Macaca mulatta: one gene and its partner. The protein of the gene in region 2 purifies or fractionates together with the protein of the main gene of each other region. This does not show direct contact. Links are inferred from orthologs where the notes say so. Each region holds a gene or a part of one and is shown on either strand. Other genes may lie near its edges.

The links.
Region 1: the proteins of PRDX1 (region 2) and TXN purify together in Homo sapiens (affinity purification with western blotting; 3 studies listed by BioGRID, with this or other methods). This does not show direct contact. The link is inferred for Macaca mulatta from reciprocal best matches to the Homo sapiens genes PRDX1 and TXN.

The regions. Positions count from the first base shown.
Region 1 is NC_133420.1:48,154,404-48,158,468, reverse strand, and holds the start of TXN (thioredoxin), read right to left. Parts: upstream 2,801-4,065; 5' UTR 2,697-2,800; coding exon 2,673-2,696; intron 1-2,672. UniProt on the Homo sapiens protein: Participates in various redox reactions through the reversible oxidation of its active center dithiol to a disulfide and catalyzes dithiol-disulfide exchange reactions.
Region 2 is NC_133406.1:195,098,790-195,102,289, reverse strand, and holds part of PRDX1 (peroxiredoxin-1), read right to left. Parts: intron 3,306-3,500; coding exon 3,183-3,305; intron 2,947-3,182; coding exon 2,816-2,946; intron 2,459-2,815; exon of another isoform or gene 1,732-2,458; intron 1,611-1,731; exon of another isoform or gene 1,425-1,610; intron 1-1,424. UniProt on the Homo sapiens protein: Thiol-specific peroxidase that catalyzes the reduction of hydrogen peroxide and organic hydroperoxides to water and alcohols, respectively.

The DNA.
Region 1 (4,065 bases), on a different chromosome or scaffold from region 2:
AACTTTTAGCCTAAATGAACATGAGTTACACCCCAGGTATGTGCAGGCTTCATGTACAAGCTCTCTTCTGATACTTCCAAACGGGTATCAGCTTGAAAATTATTCAAGAGTATATTACTAAGAAGAAATCACAGAAACTAACAGTTACTATTAATAAATGTCTCCATCACTGACACCAATAATCTGGGGGAAGCAAAACAATGTAGTTGGGGTAAATAGGAGCAGAGTCTAAGATCTCTTTGCTTAAACATACCTACTCTGAAGGTAGTAAGTGTGAGTGGTTTCTGAAGTATTTAGCCAAGTGCCTTGTGGATGGGAGTTGAATAAATGGTAGGTGTCATTCTTCTTCTTCTTTTTTTTAAAGTTTATTTCTTCCTCATCACATTTACAATCAATTATTCCATTCCTCTCTGAAATAGATCCCAGTCGGCCCTAACGTACTAACAGACTACCTCAGAAACAGAATTGTTCTCAATGACCAATGATGCCAATTTAGTCCATTAGGATGAAAACGTAAGATATATTCAACATTTACAAATAACAGGCTGGGCGCGGTGGCTAACACCTGTAATCCTAGCACTTCGGGAAGCCGAGGTTGGTGGATCACCTTAAGTCAGGAGTTCGAGACAAACCTGACCAATATCGTGAAACCCCGTCTCTCCTAAAAATACAAAATTACCGGGCGTGGCGGCGCATGCCTGTAATCCCAGCTACTCAAGAGGCTGAGGCAAGAGAATCGCTTGAACTCGGGAGGTGGAGGTTGCAGTGGGCCAAGATCAAGCCACTGCACTCCAGCCAGGGCAACAAAAGCAAAACTCCGTCTCAAAAAACAAACTAACAAATAACAATCAAATTAGTGTAACTTTCGATCAATGACTTTGGATTGTTACTTTGAGGATTGATTATCAGGGCCTGTGGGCCCCAGGCTGTAGTGCTTTTTTTAAAGTTCCTGTCACCCTTGTACACCTTTGTCACTGGTAGAAGAGGAAGGTGCCACCATGCTCTGACAACTGGGAGGACTAAACTGTGCTCCAGAAATCCTAATCAACTTTCTGTTTGTAGTAACTGGATACTGTGACAACTAACATAGACCACTCAAAGGTCTTCTGGCTCCGTGGCGGGGGGTTCTCAGCAGTTCGGTTATACTGAGGTTGCCAGACCCTGGAGAACAGAATCCCAGCCCCACTCCCTTCCCCAGGAATGGACTAAAATTTGTCACACAATAGGTGCTTGGAAAAAAGTATATGAAAGACAATTCACTACTAAGGATCTTTTCAACACATGAGGGCTGCTAAAATGAGAATCCCACTAAGAAAATACTGATTAAGAGGAAGATAAAAGACTACAGTGGCAATCAACATACGAGGAAAAAAATACTGAGTCAATAACAATCAAAGGCACAAAAGGATCGGGGACACATTGCAGACACACTTCTGTTTCCGAAGCCCACCCGGCACCAAACAGGTCAGGGCACTCAAGGCGGGCGAGGATCCGCCCTCCCCTGCTTCCCGCGGGTGGGGAGGGGTCATCGCAGGGTAGGCGCTGGCGAGGGGTCTTCTACCGTTCGGGCAGTATCAATTTCCTCCACTCACTTTTCTGACGCTGCATTTAACAAATATTTCTGGAATGGCTACATTAGACACTGCGTGTTAGGCTCTGGGTTTCCCAGTCTAGAAGGTTTTAGGCTTGCAATAACTTTCAAACATGGGAAGTCTGTTTTGCCTTGGGCATTTTTAAAAGGACAAACATCGATCGGGATACCGATAGGTCGGCGAGCAGGCAGCAAGGCGCGGCTGCACCCAGGAGGAACCCTGGCTCCAGCAAAACCCACCGACTGAGGGTGAATCACGGACGGGCAGGGCAGCCGGGGCCCCCGGGCCCAACCTTGGGGACTGAGTCATTCCAAAGCCACTGCTGCCGGAAACACGCACTGAGCCACAGGAGTCCCGTGGGCGCGGCCCGGACCTCACTTCCTCGCGGTCACCTGGGGCCCTCTGGCCTCCTGGCCAGACCTGCACGTGCCAAGGGGTCTCCAGCCGCAATCCGCCTCCTTAGTGCGGATACAGCACGCGTCACCTTTGGGGCCGGGAATGGGTGGAAGCAGCTGAGGGTCTCCGGCCTAGACCAGCTCCCAAGGGAGATCACTACCCCCGCTGCGGGTGGATCACTTCGCATACGGAAAGGCAGCGGCGGCCAGCGACCCGTGCCTTCTGCAAGGGGCCCTCTCTATCCTTGCCTAGGGCCTGAATCTGGATACAGAAGGGGGCCAAGGGCGGACCCCTTCTATTCCCTCGCCTTCCTCCAGTCGGGGCTGCCCGGACGGGATGGTGCAGGAAGGGCAGCGTGGGGGCTCCTCACGCTGCCCGCGCTCTCACATCTCCCGGGCGCTCCCCGCGTGCGTGCAACCCCCCGGGGCACAGGGTGCGGGCAACGCTGGATACCGCCACTCCGCCCTCCAGGGGACCCTCGTCCCTCTCTTCCCTTCCACCAGGGCAGGCTCCACCGCCTTGGGCGCGCCCAGGCCGCCGCTTCCCTCAGTCCCAGGCCGAGACGCCGCGTCCCTTTCCCCCGGCGATGCAGAAGGGCGGCCTCCGCATCTCCCGCCACCGCCTTCCCCAGCTACAGAGGCCGCCCGCGGCGCCGGCGCCCCGGCCTTCCCCGGGAGCGCGTACCTTGCTCTCGATCTGCTTCACCATCTTTGCTGCTGGGGTCTGAGGAGCGGCTGTAAGGACCGATGGAAACGGATCCAAAGCACCAAACCGAGCTTGAGTCGCCGCTTGCTCTCCTTTTATAAACGGGCACGCCCGGCGTGCGTGTGGCGGGGGCGCGCGCGCCCGCCCGGACCTCCGCGCCCGCCGCTGCGCCCCGGCCACGCCCCGCCCCTGGAGCCTGCGAGCCGGGATCGGGGCGGGGCTGGCGCAAGCGTGGGGCGGAGCTCCAGGGCTTCGGCTCCTGCGCCTCCAAGCCTAGCTCGCGCCCCAGCTGGAAGTGGGGATCAGCACTGCGCGTGACGGTGGGAGGCAGGGAGACGGACAGTCACCCCCAGAGACACAAGGTCTTTCCCAGGTCACCTGGGGATGCGTCCGCCGCGCCTGAATCGAACGCGCCCACGCTCGAGATGGGGACAGTCCTGGGACCGCCCAGGCAGGGCTGGATTCCTCGAAAAGTCCCGCCACGCCCTGGCCATCCCCAGCCCCGTGAACCTCACAAAGTGCTGAGTAACGGTGACCAGGAAGTTTCTCGGTGTGTACGTCCTTGCCTCCTCTCCAGAATTTACCGTGACCGTTCTTTTCTCTAACCTCCTTCTGTTCTTTCATTTTCACTGCTGAACCCGCTGCTCCAGCTTGACACAGCGGTTTAGTGAGGTAGAAACGACCGGGGGACTGGTTGGGCTCTTGACCATCAGACAGCTGCCTGTGAGATGGAAGTGCCGCCGGATTGAGCTCTGCAGCTTAGTTACGCAGTTGTGACCCTAGAAAGGTCCTGACCTCCTAGAGTCTCAGTGTTCCCTTCTGTAGAACGCGAATCATGATGGTCTCAATCTCACGGTGGTGTTATTTTGAGGGTTAATAGTGCTTGCAAAGTGATCAGGACCGTGCTTGGCACATAGTAAACACTCCATAGATAGTTCTTATTCGGTGTCTTGCGGGGACTGATTGGGCCTGGCCATCTTATACAGCATTTACAGTGGGACAGCACGCAAATTTGTGTGAGTTTTTTCAAAGGAGGCAGACTCCTGGAACAGAAGTCGGAGTTTGCATTGATCCAGGAATGCCTGTTGCAGGTTATGTCTGGCAGGGCTGGGGATTGTGGAAGGTGGGTATGTTAGCTGACCTTGTGGCGCCAGGAAGGCCTGTCAGCGGCTCAAAGTGGAGGTTGAAAAGCTGCTCACAGGAACGAGAGCCGGAAGGCTGGGAGGGAGAGTCCCAGGTCTGTATTTTCAGAGCTGAGCTGTTCCCAATGAAGCTGCAACTAGGTGTGATTGCCTAGGGGTGGTGAAATTGCTGCCTGCCTGCCCCCTAGAACCCCTGGCTTCCTTCTTTTGCTCTTTCAGACAGAAGAAGG
Region 2 (3,500 bases):
TGGTATGCACCACCATTCTCCTATGGACAAAACCAGTTCTGCACCCTAAAGAGCCTGAACACTCAGATACCAGGAAACCTACCCCTGCAATCGGTCTAAGATCATTCAGCCTTTTAGTGTAACCTAACTATTTTACAAACATTATATAATCATCACCACAGCCTTAAGATACTATTATGCCTAATTTATTCATGTAGCACTTAAAATTTAAATTTTCCACAAAAAAGGCAAGTTTAAATGATTTGCCAACACTCTCTAGTCCTTAAGGGAAAAAAAAAAAGCTAAGTAAATGATACACATAGAACTATGTAAACCCTTAACACTAAACTGTTTCCCTCTGACAGCCCTTCAGAACTCTGAAGGCAGCAACCTCAGTCTGCCTTCTCAGCATTCTTCTAACGCTACCAAACTGGAAAGCCTGAACCTTATAAAGGATCAAGAACTTAATAGAAGCCCCTGCTTGTTTCATTAAGTAACTGCCATCTACCCCTCGGTAAGCAAAAGGCAAAGTTTGAGATTTTTCGTGAATGTATACAGAAAGCACAGCCTTCAACCTTTTCCTGACAATGCCTAAGAATGTGTCTCAGGCTAGCCTGAAGAAAGTGAGGCAAGGGGACTAATCTCTCATTTTTCTTTTTCTTTTTTTGAGATGGAGTCTCGCTGTGTTGCCCAGGCTGGAGTGCAGTGGCGTGATCCCCACCTCTCTCTGCAACCTTGGTCTCCCAGGTTCAAGCAATTCTCCTGCATAAGCCTCCCAAGTAGCTGGGATTACAGGCGCCTGCCACCGCACCCGGCTAATTTTTGTATTTTTAGTAGAGATGGGGTTTCACGATGTTGGCCAGGCTGATCTCAAACTCCTGACCTCAGGTGATCTGCCTGCCTCGGCCTCCCAAAGTGCTAGGATTACAGGCGTGAGCCACCGCACCTGGCCTGATTTTTCCACTACCATGTGCTGTCATATTCTACGAGACATGTAATCAAAGTCCAGCAGGAGCAGCAAGAGTCTCAATTGCTCAAGTGAGACATAGGGAGGCCCCTCTTTGGTCCAAGGATATCATAACCTCAAATATCAAGACTCTACAAACAGCTCTCTAGGCATAAGGTACAGATGGAACAAGAGCTAAATAGAAGGACAAGCTGCCATTATTTTCCTAAAATCTCCATCTGATTGTTAGTTATTGGCTTTAGTGATATCAAAGGGTTACAATACAGGTCCTAAAGATAAACAAGTTGGAAAGAACAGCATAAAAGCAAATAAATACCAGCCTGGCCAACATAATGAAACCCCGTCTCTACTAAAAATATAAAAAATTAGCTGGGCGTGGTGGTGAGCGCCTATAATCCCAGGTACTCGGGAGGCTGAGGCAGGAGAATTGCTTGATGCAGAGGTTGCAGTGAGCTGAGATCATACCACTGCACTCTAGCCCGGATGACAGTGCGAGACTCCATCTCAAAAAAACAAGTGTTTGGCAGCCGGGCACAGTGGTTCACGCCTATAATCCCAGTGCTTTGGGAGGCCAAGGCGGAGGACTGCTTGAGCTTGAGCTCAGGAGTTCTGAGACCAGCCTGGCCAACATGGCAAAATCGCATCTCTACAAAACATACAAAAATTAGTGGGGCATGGTGGTGGGCCCCTGTAGTCCTAGCTACTCAGGAAGCTGATGCTAGAGAATTGCTTGAACCCAGGAGGTGGTGGCTGCAGTAAGCCGAGATCACACCACTGCACTCCAGTCTGGGCAACAAAACAAGATTCTGTCTCAAAAAAAAAAAAAAATATATATATATATATATATATAGTGTTTGGCATTCATAGGCTCTTGAATGGTGCCTATTTAAGAAGCTGTACATGTTCCAGTGGGATGGGAAGCAGAAGAGACCAATAGAGTCTGAAGAAGCAAGCTTCTGAGTCATGAAAGCTTGTGTTCGGGAGACTAACCTATATGTAGGTTCCCAGGAAAGTCCAGTTAAAGGGCCTACTTTGCCACTGCCGGCTCCTTCTTAATGCTGAACCTCATCTCCCACAAGGGGGCAGTCTCAGCAGGTGTCAGCTGAGCCATGTGTTATCTGTCCAGGCTAATTGCCCACACATCCTTCTGAAAAGGGTACCTCCTGGTTATCAGTGCTCACTGATCCCTATATAATCAGACTCTTACAGGGATTAAAAAGTAATCCCTGTAAAAAGATTATTTGGTGCTAGCCAAACTAGCACCTTTGGGTCTTCCCAAACATACACCACTAATCCAGACTCTAGTCACTAAACTTCATTTTCTTTAAATCACAAGATCAGAGCTAAAATGGGCCTTAGAAAGCTAGTCTGGGCTGGGCGCGATGGCTCATGGGAGGTGGAGGTCACAGTGAGCCAAGACTGCGCCACTGCACTCTAGCCTGGGCAACAGAGCAAGACTCTGTCTTGCAAAAAATAAATAAATAAATAAATACAAATATGAACTATATGGATTAACCTCTTCTCTCAACAGTTATTTTTTAAATGGCATGCTTCATCTCTAGATGTGATTCCCAACCATTTTGTTTTGCCCTAATACATCTGTGAGATCATCCTACATTAAGTTAGATCTTTAGGAGTGACTGATTCTAAATGAGCAGGGCAGAAGAGAGGAGTATGTACACTTCGAATAAAAAGTCTTTATATTCTCCTTCCCAAGCTTTTCCATTACCCTCACCCTCACATACTGTAATCCAGGGGCTTCAATATCTTGAAGAGAAATACCCCTTTTCTTATTAGGTAGCTTCTGTTCCTACTATCTTTCCCATTCTACCACCACTCTGTTATCCTTTTATCAGACAGATGGCTTACCTTCCCCATGTTTGTCAGTGAACTGGAAGGCCTGAACTAGTCTCAAAGTCTCATCCACAGAGCGGCCAACAGGGAGGTCATTTACAGTGATCTGCCGAAGAATACCCTTATCATCAATGATAAAGAGGCCCCTGGGAAAAGAGATGAAAGGAAAAGCAATACAGGTTTAAAGATGTGCTTTGTTAGAATACAGAAGCTTGAAGTCTTAAGGAAATGAACTGGTCTCCACATTCATACTGGCCTGGCCTTAGTGAGAAGGCCCCTGCATAAAGGAATGAAATGATGAAGGAGTCTCTACAGATCAGGGCTCTAGATTTCTCCAAATAAAAGGCTTTCAGCCAACTGGGTACTTGTCCTGATGACATACCTGAATGAAATGCCTTCATCAGCCTTTAAGACCCCATAATCCTGAGCAATGGTGCGCTTCGGGTCTGATACCAAAGGAATGTTCATGGGTCCCAGTCCTCCTTGTTTCTTAGGTGTGTTGATCCTACGGCAAAAGGCAAACACAGTTACATTCAAACTCTTGACTTAACTGTACCTATTCCTCTTTCCCCCTTTCCCATATTCCTAATCTAACTTTCCAAAAAAACTGTTTTTTTCCTTTTCCAGCAATAAAGTGAATGCTGAGAACAGTTAAGGTAGGTTACTAGGGTACACTCAACTGCAACTGAAGCTGCTGCTT